Linked DNA regions of Lepisosteus oculatus. The protein of the gene in region 2 purifies or fractionates together with the protein of the main gene of each other region. This does not show direct contact. Links are inferred from orthologs where the notes say so. Each region holds a gene or a part of one and is shown on either strand. Other genes may lie near its edges.

Region 1 (10,539 bases), on a different chromosome or scaffold from region 2:
GATGAGCTGTAAGCACAGGTTACAAGCCATATTAGAAAGGGAAGAGAACAAAGGAATACTGCGAAGGCGTCAAGCTTTATTCAGGAACGGGGAAGATGCAAATGCTCGGACTGGGGATAAGGTCATCTGTGGAGTGCCACAGAATGAGGAACACTGCTCTGCCTGGTTCACATCAATTGTCTTGTTCCTCATACAGTTAGCATACAAGTCAAGGTTGCAGATGACAAACGAAGAGGGTTAAATACCACTCCTTTACACAAAGGCTTGTGGGAGCATGGAACGCCCTGCCCAGCCATCTTGCGGAGCTAGACTGCTGGCTAGCTGGATAGGCTGAAACAGTTAAGTGGGCCACTCTCATTTGTAAGCACTCCTGTGGCCAAGATAAGCCAGTATGTGGCGTCACTGACCGGCCCGACGATGTCCGAGACGTGGGAGACGGTGGTGCCCGAGGCCGCGCCCAGGTACATGACTTTGGCCCCGGGTCGGATGTGAATCTGGTCCACGCCTCCCAGGATGGCGGCCGCCAGCTTCGAGCGGAAGGGGTTCCATGCCCTGTACTCGATCTTCGTCTCGCCCTCCTGCGAAGAGAACCCCAACGGGCCGTGAGGATCCAGCCGCCAGTCCCACCAGCCCAGGGCCCAGAGCAGGGCTGCCCAGTCACCACCCCGGGCTCCTGCTGCAGACCCGTCTTCATCAACAACACCCGAGGGCGCAACTCTGGACAGCACCTGGGAGACCACAGACGGGGGCGGGGCCAGGGTGGACAGCGCCCGGGCAACCACAGACGGGGGCGGGGCCGGGGGTGGACAGCACCCGGGCGACCACAGACGGGGGCAGGGCCTGGGCGGACAGCGCCCGGGCGACCACAGACGGGGGCGGGGCCAGGGAGGACAGCGCCCGGGCGACCACAGACGGGGGCGGGGCCAGGGAGGACAGAGCCCAGGCAACCACAGACGGGGGCGGGGCCGGGGAGGACAGTGCCCGGGCGACCCACCTCCACATTGATCCTCTTCTCCCCGTAGACGGACTCCCCCACCACCATGTTCTTCGTCACCAGGGCGTCCTCCTTCCCGCGGCAGATGAACACGCCTGAGGGGCACAGGAGCCAACGAACCCATCAATACGCCTTCAGACTGCGGGAGGAAACTCCATGCAGACGGCACCCCAGGACTGAACCCAGGGCCCGGCGCTGCGTGCACATACAAGTCCATCTTCTACATGACGTATTCATCCGTGCACGACCTGACCGGGGCTGCTAAAAAGCACTGGGCGGTTCGTTGAGAAGTCAGCAGGCCGCAGAACTTACTGTATTTTAATCGTATACCTCAAAGACACTGCGATCGCTGGCAGACGTACTTCAGATCACTAGAGCTGGTCTGTTCACTGGCAGTGCTAACTGCTGTCCACCATGCTGCCCAGCCTGAAATTCAGCTGCTGTTATTTCGCAGTGAGCGGTGCCACCGGTTCGGGGAGACCCTACCTTCGTGTCTGTGGGGCTCCACCGTCACCTTCTTGCCGCCCCGGAAGCCGCCGCCGCCGCCGCGGCCCCCTCTTCCTCCTCGGCCCCGAGGGGTGCCCCCGCGGCCCCCCCGGAATCCCCCCTCGCCGCCGGGAGACCTGAACCCCCCACCTGCCGAGAGAAAACCCAGTGAGACCTCCGGCGGCGCTGGGGCCGAACCCCCAGAACACCGCACCCGCCCCGGAGGAGCCCGGCACGCCCCAATTCCCGGAGCCCGGCGTCCGGCTCCTCCTCCCACCCGACAGCCCCTTGAATTTTTTTCCTTTCCCGCTTCCCTGCTTGAACCTCTTCTCCTGCCCCCCACGACCTTCCTGCCCGGTGTGTCCTTCACCAACGCCGGCCCCTGGTTGACCAGACAGAGCTCGACCGCCCTCCGGCTCGGTCTGGGCCGCTCTCTGAATCAATCAGCTTAACGAAGGGCTCGGTGGGAACAACAGACCAGGAGACGCTCGGTTCGAGAACCACTGTTGCCGAGGATGCTGGGACACGGAAACGACAAACTGACAACCAACCGAAAGGCCTTTCTGGGGGTCCCAGAGAAACGTCCTGCCTAAACCACACTATTCCCGTCAGAGGCCCGTGTAGCAGGGCTCTTTCAAAACGTCCCGGGGCAGCCGCTGGGGCGCGTCAGGGAGGGATGTTACTGCAGCACCAACTATCTCACCCCCCCAGTGGCCTCTTCATCGCCCTGAGGTCCCCGTCCTTGTGATCCTGGAGGGGACGAGCCCCCCGCTAACTGGACACTCGAGCGGTGTGCCCACCCCCCCCGGGTCAGAGACACTTACCTCGGCCGCCTCTGAAGCCGCCACGCCCCCTGCCACCGCCTCGGTCCCCGAACCCGCCTCGTCCGCGGCCTCCGAATCCTCCTCCTCCTCGGTCTCCGAATCCTCCTCCTCCTCCTCGGTCTCCGAATCCTCCCCTCCCGCCTCTCGGACTGAAGCCTGCCGGGAGAGAACCACAGGAGAGGGGGTTACTCGCCCCATCGTAGAGCCGCCCGAGAGAACCACACAGCGCAGGGCCTGTCCAAGTGCGTCCGCAGGGCTGTCCAGTCAGTGCGTGTGCAGGGCCGGTCAGTGCGTCCGCAGGGCTGTCCAGTCCTGCTCCTGGAGAGCCGGTCAGTGTGTCTGCAGGGCTGTCCAGTCCTGCTCCTGGAGAGCCGGTCAGTGTGTCTGCAGGGCTGTCCAGTCCTGCTCCTGGAGAGCCGGTCAGTGTGTCTGCAGGGCTGTCCAGTCCTGCTCCTGGAGAGCCGGTCAGTGTGTCTGCAGGGCTGTCCAGTCCTGCTCCCGGAGAGCCGGTCAGTGCGTCCGCAGGGCTGTCCAGTCCTGCTCCTGGAGGAGCCGGTCAGTGCGTCCGCAGGGCTGTCCAGTCCTGCTCCTAGAGGGCCTGCAGACACACTGACTGGCCCTCCAGGTCTCTTAAAGGCAGTATCGACTGGAGAGCCAGGAGAGGCTGTGCAATTGGCCCAGTTAAATCAGCACTCAGCCGGCTCAGCTCCTCAAGAGCTCAGTGGGGAAGAACACCCTCAGACACTCCAGCTGCCCGGGACCAGGGCTGGACACCCCTGGGAGCGATGTAGGGAAGCACTGCAACACCAAAGTGTGCAGCTGCACAAGTCCTCCCCCACCCCCCCACAAACCACACTGCAGGACGGCAGCTTCTCCTGTCTCACTAACTTGTCTTCTAGACACAGGACCAGACCGCCGACACGCTCCTTGACTGGACACTGTAACGGTCTGCAAAGCGCGAGTTCCAATAGTTTAAAACGGGCAGCGGCCAGGCCACCGGACTCATCGGCTGACTCGCACAGGCTGCGGGTCCGAGTCCCAGGTAGAGACAGTGCAGCTGCTGTCCTGTGCGGGTGCGGCACCCCGACCGAAGCGGTAAAACACCCCGACTAAACCGGCACACGTGCGCCTCGCCCTCGACAGACACGCCAGTGTCAACATCACCGTCAGCAGCTGCGAAACATGTACCACGTGGGGCCAATGAACCCGACATGAAAGGGCATTTAAAAAGCGAGAACCGGACGCTTTTCTTTACACGGAGGGAGGTAGGGGTGTGGAACAAGCCGCCGAGCCACGTCGCTGAAGCCGATTAAAAGCAGCTGAAGAAGGTCCTGGGTTCAATTAGCTGTTAAGCTGACGGACTAAAGGGGCTCCTCTTACTTCCCTTACTTACTTTTCAACTGCGAGACACTGACCCGAGCCCGGGAGATCCTCTCCGATCCGTAATCGATCACAATTAGCGCTAGAAGACGCTTTTCGTTTTACAGACTTTGGAACATCGCTAGGAAGCGCACGTTTAAATCGGACGTTTTTCTAAAAGTTCGAGCATGCAAGGAATCGGTCTGTGCGCTCTCACAAGGACCCCACGTCTCCCCACACCAAGCACATGGCCGCGGCACTGAAAACGATCCCCTCGCACGAAAACGGCCATCGCAATCGTTGTGTTGTTGTTGTTGTTGTTTTTTTGGCATTTGGCTTCGCTTAACGCCAAAAGACACCCGCTTCCTTCCGAAATTCACGCCAGAACTCAAATCACGAGCAGGAGAGAGCTACAGGGCCGACAGCAATCCAAGCCAAAACATCAGTTAACGCTGGATCCAAACTGAGCGACGAACTAGTCCAGCACGCTGCGCCCAATACAAACACATTAACTAGCGTCCCAGCTGCTCACGGCAACAGGAACAGCGGGGAACTGTTGAAATTCCGTCTAAATCGTGCACGCCGCGTCAAGTAATCGTCTGGAAGTTACTAAAATGAGCCTAAAACAGATCCTAAACCTCCGGCGTGCGCAGGCCACGACCCCCCGTCCGCCACCGAGAAACTCTCCTCTTCTGCACGAACCAGCTGGCTTTAACTTCGAAATGCGACTTAAGAAAATAGGAGCCTCCGAACAAGGCAGACACCAAACTCGGAGCGGGTGGTCTTTACGGCGCTTGAAGGCATTTTTGCCTTTTATTATCACGTTTTGTTTTCGGAGGGTGATTTGTCTCCGGCCCCGGTGAGACTCGGAGGACAGGAGCGGCGGAGCTCCGTGTTTTTACCTCCCGGGTCGTTTTTTTTTTCCCCCTTTTAACGCGTCAGAGGATCGCGGATCTGCTTACCTGGCTTCATGTTCGCGTCTCGGGATGTATCGCTGCAACGACCTGGGCGCAGAAATCGGATGAGTTGTGTCGCCGCTCCGCTCTCCGTCCTCCGCACTCGGGCGCTCGCTGTCTCTCTCTCTCCTGCTCACACGTGCTGCGTCCGCACCACATGGGCCGGCGGCGGAAGTTCCAAGCCCGCGCGTCCGAGCGCTTCCTCTCGCCGGCGTCGCCCACAGCGCCCCCTACCTCGGAGGACACACACTGCAGGCCGCTCTCCACCTCGGGTCCCCCACAAAGCTGTGTTTCGGGAACTGGAAATACAGCTTTTGGTATTTTGGTATATTTGGAAATACAACTGGAAATACGACACCTGAAGAAGGCTCCACGGCCGAAACGTTGTGTTCTCTTTCTTCTTTTTTTCAGCATGGAATAAACCTATTACTTGTTATTTTTCGGAATTTTTTGTCTTCGAAACCTGTACTTGAAACCCATTGAAACCATCTTCAACTTTTTTTGTTCCGTGCACTTAAAACATCTTATTGTGGCCGGAACTTATTCAGTCTTACTCTAGTTGAAGCTTACACGTAAGCCTAGTACGCTTTACCTTTTAAAAAAGCTCCACCATGGATTTCAAATGAGACTTTGTGCTGTTAAATTACTGTGCCGCCTCAAAGATCTGCGCAAGCTCAGTGAGTCCTAAGTGTTAACTGAACAGGATCTTGTTCAGTGGGATAGGTTTATGAATTGTTAAATGCTATACTCCTTTTTTACAGTTTCGAAATGGTTACTTCTTGTGTATCGTTATCAGTTTCTTTATGATGGCGATGTGATTATAAAAGTATTCTCCTATGATGTTTTAGGTGTTTTGAAATGCAGTTGGGTCGCCCTCTAGTGGACGGGGGGGGAGGGTGGCTCAGAACTGTTTATTTTTACAGTTCGACTAGACTGATATTTCAAAGTTCTCTCGAAGAACATTAAACACATTAAAGCAGTGATACGAACGAGGGCAGTGAGGGACACCGAGCTTCATCAAGGCAGCCAGAACAAGGTGATCGCAGCACGGAGGAACCCATTTTCAGCAATAATACTTTTATTTACAGACCTGATTAATAGAATTGTGCTTGAGCTTTGTTGGATAACACTTAAAACACAGCACTACAATAATAATAATAATAATAATAATAATAATAATAATATGCTCCATGAATCTGTTAGAAAAGACACTGCTTTATGACAATGTAATATGGCACAGCAGAAATAAGTTTTGTTTGCTGAAGCCCCATCATGGATTGAGATTACTGTAGGTTTAGTGGCACAAAGAGTAGATTCTGCTAAAGAGGTGACAGATATTTAGCCCTGTCCAGTACAAACACGAAGCTGCACCGTCTGCTTAACATGAAACCATCCTTCTCAGGGCCTCCTAAAACAGGCCCGCTCGATCCTGCAGTCCAGGCCCGTCTCCGGGGTTCAGACGATCGCAGACGAAGGCCGGATCGTTGGTCACCGGAGGGCGGATTCCAGGAACAGGCTCTTCCGCGCTCAGTCCCCGCACAGCGGCTTTCCTGCTCAGGGCGCGGCATGGCCGATTGCAGAGCCAGGAGTGCACCCTGAAAGTCAACCGGTTAACGATGATTTCAGCCGGAGTGACCGGCAGAGGACAAGGGGCTGACCAAGGCGGGCTCGTCGCTTTCAGCTTTCATCCAAAACACTGAGGCGCTAGAGGGATCGGTTACTGCGTCAGTGCATCAGGGGCACACAGCCCAGCGTGGAGGTCTTGAACCAGCAGCCCCCTTAAAACCTTATATATTACAGCTGCTGTTTCAGCTCACCCAGTAGATGTGTTGATAGCGTCTTCGGAGAAAAGGGGCGATGATCTGTGTAAGTGGTCAGTGGCACTTAGTACCATGGAGTTGTATTGGCAGAGCTTAACAGGAACAAATGACCAATAAACAAGGTGGCACTTTTAGCTGGGGTAAGATGCTATTGTATAGAGATTGTGTCAGAAAGAAAAAAAATATCTAGCGATCCAGCACGGAATAGTTGATGCACTTGTTTCTGTCACAATCCCTTCATCACATAGTCTTGTGACTGAATCATTAACCATAACTATAAGCAGCCAGCCTAGTTTTTCATTCATTGACACTTTGCAGATGTGGGAGGACTTAATCTCTTTTCTGAAGTCTCTGGTGGAGGCACAGTGAAAGACAGCAATTTTCAGGAGGCTCTCTCCTTTATGATAAAGCACACACGTCTGTGTTGGCTTCCAAATTCTGTTTCCACTCACCGTTCAGCTGAATCCCTTGACAGATGTTTCCCAGCAGGTCTTCTGGTTAGCGGTCCATCTGAGCTCTCTTGTGACTTAATTGGACCAGTTATATGCATAAGGATTGAACAGATGTGCTTTCAACATACGTTTATTCCTGCTAAAAAAGCTGCTATCAGAAGTGAACCGGCTGTTCCTTTGTGATTCAAGTATTCAATTTGGAATTGCCAAATATTTTTCTATTGTCTTTGGACACATCACAAGCTCCATAGTGCCTTACGGGAGAGCCAGTACTGATTGGAGCACTTTGCTTGCTGATGTCACTGAGAACCCACAGGAGTCTGACAAGTACTGGTGATAGGATTGGCTGAAGTGCTGACCAATCAGGATCAAGATTCCCCATGTGGAGGCACGCGATTGGCTGAGACATTACTGACCGTGGTCCGCCCAGAGCTCGGCGTCCTGCGGGAGCCTGCAGGCGAAAGGGCATCTGTAACAGAAACGCCAGCCATCTGCTGGAGTCAGTGGGGCAGGAGACCAGACACAAAGTGATGTCACCTGGCTCTGGCTGCAAACCCTTTGGCTGAAGGCCTGAGATACGCATGCTTTTGACTTGATAAATGACCCGCGAACAAAAAAGCACTGAGAACATGAAAAAAAATTGCACAAAGATGTAGACGCCAAATCTATTGAGCTTTTTTGAGATTTTGATACAGATCCCCTTTGCAGAGGAGGACATGCCATCCGACGGACTTCCGGGAGCTGGGCGCGGACACGGACAGGAATGGATTTTGCGAAAGGGTGAACGTGCGTCACGCTCAAACCTTAAGGCAAAGGAGAAATAAAAGAAGGACACAGTCGTCTCAGAAGCAAGTTCTGCAGCTGCTATAGTACCTGCAGTGTGGTTCTGCTTTACGGAAAGGGGCATATGGGGGCTTATTTTATTTTTTGCTGGGGGAGGGGGCGGGGGGGGGGGGGGGGGTTACTCTCCATTCTCCATTTTGTTGACATCCCCGTTGGTGACATTTTGCGCCTCCCCTCTCCCCTCCTCCGAGTCCCTCCTGAACACCTCCTCCTCCTCTCCTCCGCCTCCCTCTTCCTCTTCCCCGGCCCTCGTCCCCGGTCCCTCCGGCAGCTCCGTGTCCCTGCCCGGCCCAGTGGCCAGCTTGGGGGGGTCGGCCGGGGGCAGGGGGATGGCCTCCCCCTTCTTGGCCAGCTCTGCCAGCTCCTTGGCCGAGCAGGAGGGGGTGGGGGTGTCGTAGGTGTTGTGGAAGGTGTCATAGTCCACCTCGTAGAAGCCCTCCTCAAGGGTCAGCACCGGCATGAAGCGCTGACCCCACATGACCTCCGAGTCCAGGTAGGAGCTGCGCGCCTGGCACGTCATCCCTGCCGGCAAAAACGAGCAAGAGGTCAAAGGTCAGAGGTGGGTGGGTGGGTGGTCAAAGGTCAAGGGTCAGCACCCAATAGTTCTACCCTGCTGCAAATGCACCAGACCACTGTTCAATCCGTCCGAGCAGCAAGAGGAGGGCATGTGACATCGGCTTGGTTTGAGATGTTTCCTGAGCGTCAAGACATTCTGAGGACAAAGCGCTCAGTTTAATCATTTACTCTGACAAACCACTGATGTCTCTTCAAAACCGAGGTACCGGGAAGTATCAGATTAGCGACTGGCAGCCAAATTAACATGCCGAGTCCAGTGGCCTGCCTCTTGCTTCTAACCTGATTGTATTCTTAAGTGCTACCAGACTCCATGTAATACCGTTGAGTGTTATATGGAATTAGCATATTTAAATGGACCTACATGACAGTTCTTAGCAGAAAGGGTTGAGTTTTAGTTTTATGTTGGGTGGTCGAGTTTTGATAATCTTTTCAATCAGCTAACTTTCAATTAAGGAGAATGGAAACGTTTTGCTTAAACATTCCGTGTTTCACGGCTTAGTTAAAGTGTTCTATTGAATTAATCAAAGACACAGGGTTCCAGTTCTCCTTTCACAAACCATACAGAGGCCTCCATACATACAGCAGTGAGCAGGCCATGACAGAAATGCGGTTTTAGTACACAGTGGCTGTGAATGCGTGTCTCGTAATCCTTGATTAACGCTGAGAACACAGCTTGTAGCTGCTCTGTCTGTATGGGTGATGGGAGTACTGGGGATGACAGGCGTTGGCATGCAATTACTTTGATTCCAAATTAACAGGAATGCAATTTCTCAGGAGCTTTAAGCGCTGTGAAGATGATCTGACCCTCGAGGCAGACCTGCTGTCAGAGCGCAGAACACCTCCCAACAGCTCCCTCGTGCAGTGAGGTCTCCCCCCCTGCGCTGACAGGAAAGGGCATTTGGCTGTTTGTTGTGAACCTGATTTCTATTCATGGATCACACGAGGAGTGTTTCTTTTCGCCTCCGTGTTTCTGTAAATCATTTCCACGAGATATTAACCAAAGCAAAGAGAAAAGTAAGACCGTTGAACACGATATGGAATTAGCATATTTAAATGGACCGAAATTTCAGTTTCTTAGCAGTAATGTTTGAAATCCAGTGTTACGTTGGGTCGTTTAATTTCTGTGTCTCTGCTTGGGCCACTTTGAAAGGATTATTCAAGGGTCAAGTGGAAGGAAGGGAGGAAGGAAGCCAGTGACACCTGCGGGCTTCAGAATGCTGTGCGACTGTAATATGTGTCCCCCACCTCTCACTTCAAGCGGTTTCTGCCTGGAGACACTGACTGCTCAGGATGATGTCAGCCGCTCCAGCCCACTGCCAGTTGCCCACCTGCACCCTGAAACTTCCGAGACCACCACTCCATAGAGCAAAGGAGCAAGAGGTTCAATCGACAGGCGGCACAAGTCAGAGATGGTTTGAGTCGGCCTTGGAGCCCAAAAACAACATCAGCCGAGAAGGAGCACTCCAAGAATCCACCGAACAGGAGGCTTCATGCGGTACCTTTCCATGACTGATTGTTAAGATGCCCCTTTAAGACGTGCGACAGTTTCTATCACTGCAGCATCGGTCACTGTAAGGACCCCGTAAGGACGACCCACTGGGAGGGGGTGCGCGGGGCTCTAATTAGAAGCAGCTGCGTGGGTTCGTAATGAGCAGCCGAACCGATGGGCTGCCGATCAGGTGTCCGATCTGTCCGATCAGCCAGATCTATTATCCACTCATGTCCCTGGAGTTGTCTGGCTAACGCATCAGATCAATACTACCAGTTTTCTGGTATTAGAAACATGCCGCACAGGGATTAGGGGTTGGATAGCACTCATGCCTGCTGGCAATTTAATTATTTATCTTCCCTTGTTAGAGCATCCCGCTTCATAAGCCCAGCTCAGAGCCCGTAGAGCAGATATTTCCAGAGCACATTGTGCCTTCCGGGCCCACAGTCCGGGGGATTTCTCCCTGCTCAAGATGTTTGTCCCCATCTTAACAGGGGATCGTCGGGACTTGTCATTCACTAAGTATTTCTGTTTGCGAACATCCCTGAGACTTAATGAGACCCGAAGGTTAGAAAACAAGGCGTGGTTGAATATGATTAGGAATTGGGATTTTTTTTTAAAAGAATTCGGCCCGAGTTTTTGAAAGAATCGGAGAGTTTCTCAGCTAATGCAAAGGCGTAACACTGGAATCTGAACCTTGGTCCTCTGAAACACCCCATGCAGACTGTATGGTAACTACA
Region 2 (9,763 bases):
CTCCCTCTCGCCCGCCCCCAGCCCGATGTCCGTGGCTAGGAGGCTGCGCAGCGGATGGTCTGTGCAGCGCCTCCTGCTGGGCAGGTAGGCCAGGTGCAGCAGGGCCCAGGGGGGCAGACCGCTGCAGCAGGACACGTCCAGGTGCTGCAACACCGGGCAGCCCTCCGCCACGGCCGCCACGACGTCCCCGTCGCACTGGCCCCCCGACAGGACCAGGCTGCGCAGGCGGCGGAGACTGGCGGCCAGCTGCGCCAGCACGGCGGGCGGCACGCGCTGGCAGCCGGACAGGTCCAGGGCCAGCAGCTCCTGGGGCAGGAGAGCAAAGAGCCTAAACAAGAGCCAAACCCAATTTCTAAGATAAGACAAGATACGATCACTTGATTGATACAGCTTCTCACATTAGGAATTTGTCTTTTCGCAGACCCCAGCCTGCTCTCCGTGAGACGCACAGACAGGGAGAGAAGCTGGGGGTCAGAGCGTAGGGTCAGCCGTTTATACAGCGCCCCTGGGGCAGCTGGGGTGAAGGGCCTTGCTCGGGGGCCCAACGGAGTAGGATTCCTCTGCCAGCCGCGGGATTTGAACCGGCAACCTTCCAAGCCACAGTGCCACCACTCTGCCCCTAAAAGCTTACAGCACCTGGTATTCCCAGGCGGTCTCCCATCCAAGTACTGACCAGGCCCGACCCTGCTTAGCTTCTGAGATCAGACGAGACGAGACGTGTGGCCGTAAGCGACCACCTTATATCCTGTTTTGTTTTTCCTACCACCACAATCTTGGGCTAAACACACTGTTGCGGCAGGTACAGAGAGATGTCAGTCCCCAGCTGTGGACAAAATCTCAGTTTCATTCCTCATCCAGCAGCAGACGCTCCCACAGTGAAAAGCACCTGAACTCCGCTGGGAACTCAGCTTGGGAATTTCTGCACAGGAAGGGAAAAAGTACCTCCTGCTGGTTCACTAACGTCTGCCAGCAGAATCTTTCCGCCCGGATCACCGAGCCTCTGGTATCGCAGTGCGTGGGGGGTGAGACTGACCTGGCAGCGCAGTGCAATGAGCTGGCACAAGGGGGCAGTCACCAGGCCGCTGCAGGGCCGCAGGCAGAGCCGCCGCAGCTGCGGCACCAGGAGGAGGTGGAGCGCGGCTCGGGACGCTCGGCGAGAGGCGCACACCACCGCCAGGAGCTCCTCCACCAGCTCCCCCGCTGAAAACACACAGGTCGGGAGTGAGAGAGGGGTGTCAATGCGTCACGCATGCGCGAATGAGGCAGCGAGACGTCGCGGGAGAGGGAGGGGGAGTTCGGCGAGACATTACGGGAACACAAGTTTGCAACGAGAGAGACCGAGCCGAGCAGCAGGACGCAGGGAGAGTGAGGAAGAGGGCAGAGAGAAGCAGGAGAGGACAGGAACGCTGCCGCGCAGTCAGACCGCGTGAGAGAAACAGGGCCAGAGGTGGACAGGCAGAGACCCAGAGCCGGACAGTCACCCCCTCCCACAATGCCAGATACAGAGCCGACAGCGTGATCGGGGAAAGACAGGGCAGGCAGGAGAAGCTGGCCGCAGGCTGTCGGACAGGCAGGGGGCGCTCACGCAGCAGGCTGAAGGGGCCCATGACGTAGCGGAAGCTGTAGCTGTCCATGTAGTTCTCGGCGTAGTCCCGGGCCCACAGCTCCCTCATGTTGTCCGCCAGGCTGACGAGGCACAGCCTGACCAGGGTGCGCACCTGCCCTCTGCTCCGGCCTTTCTCGGCCTTCTCCCTCTGCCACTGAGGCCCACGGAACAGTGGCATCTCCGGCCAGCAGGCGGCGCTGTGTCACACAGACTGACTGTCAATTACCGGGAGCAGACCCCCCTCGCCCCCTTAACACTCGCGGTCCGGGGTTCGTCTGTCTCACCTCTATGATGGAGGGGCGTGTGGGGCCACTCTAAATACTAGATGAAGGCTTCCTTGGCATGAGTTAATTGACAGCTCTTTGATTTAGAAAACACCTTCCTCTCTCCATCAGCTGTTGAAGCGCTCTGTACCGTGCTTCAGTCAAACTGAACCCTGGACTACCCACGCCTACGTGTCTGAGGGGCATCTCCAGTTGTACGCTTTGAACTTCGTTGAACTGTACGCTTTGCCACCCCCTGTCCTGCCATTTATGTCGCTGCTGACTGCGTTTAAAAATAAAGATTTGTTTCGTGTTCACGGAGGAGAGATTTCTGCGGTTTCTTACCACACCCCACGTACAGTAAGCCCAGGAAAAGCACACATGAGCCTGGTAACTAGTCCGTATCCAGGTAGGAGGTATAGGTGGTCCCTAATGTTCCTCAAACCAGTTATTACATCTGATATAATGTCGCAGAGTGTCGAGGGAAGCAGTCTAAATCTCTAACCCAGCAATACATGTTAACCCCTGTATTAATTAGGAATTCAACAGAACGCCTCCTGTAATAAAACTTACATTTGTATCGCGTCTGATTTATTTTGTTTCACGTCACAGGTCCGTTTTAAAACACAGAGAACATGAGGGGCGAGACAAGACCTTGATTACACACCTTTACAGGGGGATCTTGTCTCTGGAGAGTCTCCAAACGTAAGTGATCGCGTCTCACCTCCTCGCCGACCCAACCGGTGAACACAAAGCTCTTCCGGGCACGCCTTCTTAAACCTGTATAAGCTGTCCAGGTTTATGACATTTTAACCGTGCCGCTATATGCTGACGGGAGCTCCGGAAGAGGGGTTTGAGAAAACACGGGCGATGACAGCGATGGCGAAACTATGTAAAAAGTCACGTCCCGTAGAGAAGTCAGTCCGCGCTCCTCCTCTGATCCAGCAAGACTGTTCCGCATCCCACATATCCTCCAGGAAAAGATGCACACTAAACGGGAGAAAAGCGAGAAAGCAACCGCACCTTTTTGATCTGAACTCATTGCAGTACCGCCGCGTCGTTTTTTTTTTGTGTGTTTGTTCTGTGTATTTATTTCAATACCCCCTGCTTGCTACACGTTGAAATTCAAACTCGATGATTTGCCAGTGGTGACCACAATGCAGTTTCCAGGAGCGTGGAACGGCATTTTCTGTTCTTTTCCAGCTTTCTTGCGCGTTTTCCCCCAAACTGAACATTAATTTATTTGACTTTGGAACAGCGCAAACAGCAGACCATATAAATACCCGTGTGTGTCTGACTGGTAACTTGCTCTCTGCTCTATCGCAGCTGTAAGGATTCATTTTGTAGTGACCACTCTAATAAGCTTTTATTGATCCACATGAAATCAGAGGGGAACTCTGGGGGCTGACGAGCTGGCCAATGTTTAACACCGAAGGCAAAAGAGAGAAGAAAAGTCGCAACAACAGTGAGAAGTGTAGGAGTCGAGCAGGACGGATTTAATCACACAACCGGAAACACCCTCCGTTACCAAGGGGATAGTTTCTGTTCGCTCTGTACACATTATTCCAGGGACTGGCTGCTGTTGTTTGAAGTGTCTTGGGTCAAAGTGCTTTTCGATTACAGATCTCAAAGCGGGGTCTTCTGCAGGGTTAGGGTGAGGTATGGTTCCATTATGAGCAGTCAAATGAGAGTAAACTCATTCTTTTCTGAATGACATATACTGGACAATGGTTTTTCTGAACGTCATTCACAAAACTTTCCACTTCGTTCAAATGGCAGTCGCCTGAAATTCACCCCAGCCTCGTCAGAATTCTTAGCAATTATCCGGCTAATTAGGTATTTAGACCAGCTTCGTAACTGAGACCGTGAGGGGAACAAAATCCGGAAGACACTACATTCATCAGGAACTGAGTCTGAGGCCCCTGGGTTAGAGGGCAGTAATGCTTGTTGGACTGTTGACTATAGTTCCAAAAAACTGAATATATTTGTTCTTTGAGCAAAGTATAATGCACTTTTAAGACAAGAAGGTAGAGTGATGTTACCAGATAGGGGACAGGATGGAATGTTTTAAACTTACACCGAAAGATATGAGTTCATGAATCAGTGCTTACAGCCCTGTGCGAGTAAACATGTAGTGCTGTAATACTGCAGCTGTTCACTGGTGCTCCTAACAGACAGACACTGTAAACAGCTGAGCTGCTGCTGCTCTGTGCACAGGTGTCTTTCCTGTTGTGATATAAATTCTCTAACTGGGACAGTTTTATACATTTGCTCTCAAATCTTGAAAGAGATTAATGGTATTACACCTAGCATCAATTTAAAGTTTATTTTCATTCTGCTCATACACAGGTGTATGGTATAACGAAATGCTATTTAGCTAGCTCAGTCAGCAGGGGATTGTGGGAGTGTGGACCAAGCTACCCAGCCATGTGGTTGAAGCGGACGCCTTGCTTCTTTCTGGAAACAACTGACTGAGACCCTTGGGTCAATTACCTACCACCAAGTGAATGGTGAACAGCTCCTCTCATTTGTAATCTGTTTTATGTCCCAATGTTCTTAACCCTGTGCACAATTTTACTCCCATTCAAATACCCGGTATCAACCTGTGCAAATTTCACAACTTCCCTGATTCACGTCTGCCGCCTGAAAAGTAACCGAGTGGACCTCCCCAGAAGAGAAATGACCGCCCGTGTCTGTTCATGCTTAAATCTATCACCTGGTGGGAGCTGTTCAGAGCAGACTCTTAATGAACGAGTAAACGTTTTTTCCCTGCCGAACAGAGAAGAAAGAAAACACAACGTTTCGGCCGTGGAGCCTTCTTCGGGTGTGAGCAAGCTGGTTTAGTAAGAGAGGGCCCAGGGCCAGGCCCAGGGAGGAAGAGAAGGAATGACGAAGAGATCTAGAAAAAGATTTGGAGGAGGGCATAGTGGGTCGCAGCAGGTTTAGGTTGAAGTAGTTCAGGTGGCTCCCTGCGTCAGCGGGTATAGGCTGCAAAGGAACAAGTAAAGGTTTATTCCCCGCTGAAAAGAAAAGAAAGAAAAGCCCAACGTTTCAGCCGTGGAGCCTTCTTCAGGTGTAGGCAGGGCTGCATAGCTGCAGTACTTCAGGGCCGGAAGAGTTCTTGTTTTCCTGCCCCTTGACATCTTAAGAGACAGATAAGACTTTATTGATCCCGAAGGGAAATTGATGTGTTACAGCAGCCCAAAACAAGCAAAACGAACAGACATCAGGATAGACAAAAAATTAGAATACGTACAGTAATAAAAAATAAATATAAAATAAAATAAATAAATAAAAATGACCAAATTGAACTCATTAATTGCTTAATTAGAGGTGCTGGAGCCTCTCTTTGTCCTTAAGAAGTTGGGTTTGAGGGTCTCTCTAACCTGCGGGACAGTGGCCTGTGAGGACAGGGGTGGGTGCCCCCAGCCAGCGGGCCAGGTGTTTACCCAATGAAACAGAACATGCAGTGATTGCATTCGTCTAGAAAGCCGTGGGATTGCGAGGAACAATCAAGCCACACAGAGGCTCATCAGATCAGATCTTATCCTGTTTCCCAGGCGTGAAGTGATCAGACAGCACACGGCTCGCCCTCCCCTGGATAAACGCCAGTGCGTCACAGCTCCTGCTCCCAGGCAGGGGGTAATGGGGGCAGAGTTTGTCACGCGAGGGGTGACAGCTGTGTCTGCAGCGGGGACTCACTCCCGCACGCCGTCAGCCACGAGTCCAGGCTCACGCCCACACACACCGCGGACAAGTGTCCTGGACGTCCAGTCACCTGCCAGCATGGCTTTGGACAGTGGAAGGAAACCAGAGCACCTGGAGGAAGCCCCACATGAACACGAGGAGAACATATGAACCCCAGACAGACAGCACCCCAGGGTGGGCATTGAGCCCCTGTGCTGAGAGCTAGCAATTACTTTATTTATTATTATTATTATTATTATTATTATTATTATTATTATTATAGGCAGTAGGCAGTCTACAAACACACCAATCAACACACGAATTGGAGCTGCAGGGAAATACGTTTTGTGCATCTGTATGCTTTGCTGTGTGTGTGACTTTCAGTTGTCTTTCAGAATTAAGACTGCAGAAAGAGACCGGCGTCCTGGTGGAATTTCAACCAGGTGCGTGGTTTTTTTTTAGTGTTGCATATATTCAATTTTTTAGCATAGGATCTGTCCAAAATCTCGCTCTTCAGTCAGGGCGAAAGGATGTGACGGTAAACGTACAGCAGATGGCGCCATGGAAACCCATCTCTCCACCCTCCCCTCCCCCAGCTCTTGTTCTCGCGATACTTCGAAGAGCCAGGGGGCGGGCTCGGGCACGAAAGCGAGGTGGGGCGGCGCGCAGAGCACCTTGGGAAGGAGAACAGGCAGCACGAGAGGACGGAGCTGCGCCGAGGGAACAGCAATGGTAAGACTGCACGTGTGGGGAAGAAAATAACTTCACTGCGCAGACCGAGTCAGCAGGTGCTTTTCAGTGAGGCAATACAGTGGAGGTATTGCTTGTGCGAAGGAACTGACGGAAAATACGTTTTCTGGCTCTTTAGACGTAGCCGGCGGAGATGCGGGTCACACGCAGTCTGGAACAGTGGCCCCAGTCAGGGTGTTGCTGTTGCAAAGCAGTACTCGGTAGCGGTGTAATAAGTAGTATGAAATAGCTGTATCTGTGGGAAGTTACATATGGATGAAAAAATCAATATTTTTTATCAGATTTCTGCAGATCTTCGGTTAGTTGCATGCTAGCTCACAGCTGCTCGGGGCTGCAGCTAGGCCCCAGGAACAGAAAACGATATCTGACGCGGGGCACGGGCCGGGGAAGTCACAGTGCTGGGAAAGAGCCGCAGTTAAAACCCCTGCACCGCGCGCGCTCTGGAGCCCGGCTCGTGCTCGGAGCTGGCGCCGGCCCACGTGTTGCCCTCTCGCTCGGGAGCGGCGGTGGCGGGGCTGCTGCTGCACCATCCTGGGCCCGTCAGGGCTGGAGAAGGACCTGGGGTACGCAACACGAGGCGCTTGTTGCGGGGGGGTTCTGGCGCGGGCCTCCGTCCCGTCGCCACGTGGTGGGGGGGAGCGGGGCGCGCACGTGGCGACGCGGACCCGAGCGGTTTCCTCTGAAGCGCCTCCAGGGGCGAGTTTCTGGTACAATTCCTCTCTTCCCCCCCCCAAAAAAAACCGAATGAACCGAGGAGTGTTTTCATGGCGTCTCTCGGCGGTGTACGATCCTGACAGGCAGAATTCAAGCCTCTTTCCCGGGGTCTGAGTGCGGGGGTTGAGCACGCCGTGATGCCGGACCCACGTGGTTCCGGCGCGGTGCGGCCATGAGAGAGAGGCCTTACAGAATGAAATAGTTCGCGCTTTTCTTTTTTACACGGGAAAAACCTCGCTGTCGTTGGACTAAAAGCGCAGTGCCCTCTGGCGACCGCGGTGCTACTGGGAAATGACAAAATGGGAACAAGTAAAGGGTTATTTGCTGCTGAAAAGAGAAGTTACGTTTCGGCTGTGGAGCCTTCTTTGGTGGCTCCGCGGTGAATCGATCTTCTCTTTTCAGAAGGGAACAACCTTTGCCTTGTTCTTCTGCAGCCTGCGCATGCTGACACGGCTGCCTACTTGAATGACAAAATAGTCTTCCTTTCTGCAGTACCTCTGATATCACGAGGAAGGGGATGAGTCCCGTTAACACGCAGCATGAACACGCATTTGTAGTTTTTTGTTCTTATGTTAATCAGTAGTTCTTCCGCTTTCTGTCCCGGTCTCTTTTGATGTGGATCGTGTCTTGACTCTGTAGTACACCAAGGTGTCGGTTAATACCGACAGTTTGTGTTGGAGGACTCCCCCTGAGATCTGTCACCATGAATTACAGCTCAATCCTGCGGCTTGTCTAGGCCTCTGCGCGCCCTCCTGTACAGATAGGCAGCGGCTGTCGCTGCCCTTACAGTGCTTTTCATCTCCAAGCTCTTCACCGGGGAAGTAAAGCAGAGACGGGGGTTTTAAAGGCACGCTGCTGCGTGGTGTAATGTGGAGCAGGCTGGTCTTGCACTTCGTTATTTCCAGGGTGCGTCTGAATATAGAGGGGAGGTGATTCACACTGAGGTTCGCAGCCCAGCTGGGAGATGCGCTGGCGGGTCAGAAGGGGGCGCCAGACCTGCTTGTTCCAGCGAGTGTAGGGAGATGTCAGGAGCTCGGACGGAGCCGGGACACCGGTGCTGCTGCTGCTGCCTGCTGGCCCGTGGCGTGTGGCCTCACCCCCGGCCCTCTCTCCGCAGGTGCTGCTACACGTGCTGTTCGAACATGCGGCGGGGTACGCGCTGTTCGCCGTCAAGGAGGTGGAGGAGATCGGCATGCTGCTGCCCCAGGTGAGGCCCTGCCCTTTGACCCCGCCCCAATCATAATGACACTCGGGTGAGGGTGTTTGTCCTCCACATGTAGCCTGAGACTGTCATTATCCATGGGCTAGAGACCACTGCAGTGCAGCTCTGCCCTGTGGTCGGACACATACCCTTGTTCTGTGCAGAAAATGTTGCTTGTGGTTTTTACCATAACTGCTTACTGCATGACTCATGGGTGTGAGGGGCAGAGGTGTTGGGTAGGATTTCAGATTTATAAAGCACTTAAAGTAGAAGGTTAATGTTTGCGGTCAATTTTAGCATCCCTGGTGTTCTAAAGTATTCGGCGTCAGGCTTTTAATGTTCACAATTAAGGATCCAGCAGCTGAGAGCCCCCTGTACAGCGTGCTGAGTTCCCAGGGCTTGTGTGACTTGCGATTTTAAATTCCGAGATGTTTGCACGTGTGTTTTCTGTCACCAGGTGGAGGAGAGTGTGCTGAATCTGGGGAAGTTCAGCACTGTGGTGAAGCTGGCGGCTTTCTCTCCTTTCAAGTCGGCCCAGGCGGCACTGGAGAACATCAACGCCATCTCTGAGGGTGAGGCGGGGAGTGCCGTGTGAGAGTGATCAGGGAGACTTGAAGGCGGCGAGGGGCGGGGAGAGTCCGTGCCCAGATGTGGTGATGTTTCTGTAATCTGTCAATCCCCTGATGACCACGTGATGTCAAAACTACAAAGCTGAACATATGGGCTGTTTTTTTTTTTAATGTGGGACCCCCGTTTCCTCACTGTGCCTCCTCTGTGTGTGTGTGCGTGCCTGCCTGGTCTATCCAGAAGCGAGTTTCCTCACTGTGCCCCCATGTTCCTGTGCAGGCGTGGTGCACGCTGACCTGAAGCTGCTGCTGGAGACCAGCCTACCGGCTGCTGGCAAGAAGAAGAAGGTTGTCCTGGGGGTGGCGGATGCCAAGATTGGGGCAGCGCTGCAGGAGGAGCTGGGGCTGTCCTGCCAGGCCGGGGGGGTTGTGGCCGAGATCCTCAGAGGTGAGATTTCCTGGACAGTCTTATCTTCGTACAGCCTCACAGGAGCAGACGCAGCATTTAAAAGCTTGGTGCTTGGTCTCTAGTGCTCCAGTACAGCGTAGCCTGTGCTGTAGAACGTAGACTGCCTGATTTGTGGTGATGTTCCAATCATACTGATCCCACTGATGCCTTCATACTGAAAAACTGAACATTCGGGCTGGGCTGTGCTGTGCTGTGTCAGCGGTGCTGGATAAGACCCCTTTCCTCCTGTGCACATCAGCCCTTCTCCTTGCTGCTCTCTCTCCCTTGCTCATGGCCCCACGGCCGCCGTTTCTGGCTCTTGTGCCTCCAGGGGTCCGGCTGCACTTCCACGCCCTGGTCAAGGGTCTGACCGCCCAGTCCGCCTCCAAGGCCCAGCTGGGCCTGGGCCACAGCTACTCGCGGGCCAAGGTCAAGTTCAACGTCAACAAGGCCGACAACATGATCATCCAGTCCATCGCCCTGCTGGACCAGCTGGACAAGGACATCAACACCTTCGCCATGCGCGTC

Evidence for each region.
Region 1: the proteins of nop56 (region 2) and fbl purify together in Homo sapiens (affinity purification with mass spectrometry; 6 studies listed by BioGRID and IntAct, counting the BioPlex papers as one, with this or other methods). This does not show direct contact. The link is inferred for Lepisosteus oculatus from reciprocal best matches to the Homo sapiens genes NOP56 and FBL.

Annotation. Positions count from the first base shown.
Region 1 is NC_090722.1:9,614,911-9,625,449, reverse strand, and holds the start of fbl (rRNA 2'-O-methyltransferase fibrillarin), read right to left. Parts: upstream 4,793-10,539; 5' UTR 4,636-4,792; coding exon 4,626-4,635; intron 2,461-4,625; coding exon 2,305-2,460; intron 1,631-2,304; coding exon 1,481-1,630; intron 1,090-1,480; coding exon 995-1,089; intron 579-994; coding exon 408-578; intron 1-407. Other genes in the region: kcnj21 (G protein-activated inward rectifier potassium channel 4), read right to left, coding at 7,853-8,256.
Region 2 is NC_090698.1:69,129,910-69,139,672, forward strand, and holds the start of nop56 (nucleolar protein 56), read left to right. Parts: upstream 1-5,723; coding exon 5,724-5,751; intron 5,752-5,951; coding exon 5,952-5,999; intron 6,000-6,073; coding exon 6,074-6,288; intron 6,289-8,137; coding exon 8,138-8,227; intron 8,228-8,678; coding exon 8,679-8,793; intron 8,794-9,067; coding exon 9,068-9,235; intron 9,236-9,566; coding exon 9,567-9,763. Other genes in the region: uncharacterized protein, read right to left, coding at 1-306, 1,034-1,200, 1,586-1,784. UniProt on the Homo sapiens protein: Involved in the early to middle stages of 60S ribosomal subunit biogenesis. Required for the biogenesis of box C/D snoRNAs such U3, U8 and U14 snoRNAs. Part of the small subunit (SSU) processome, first precursor of the small eukaryotic ribosomal subunit.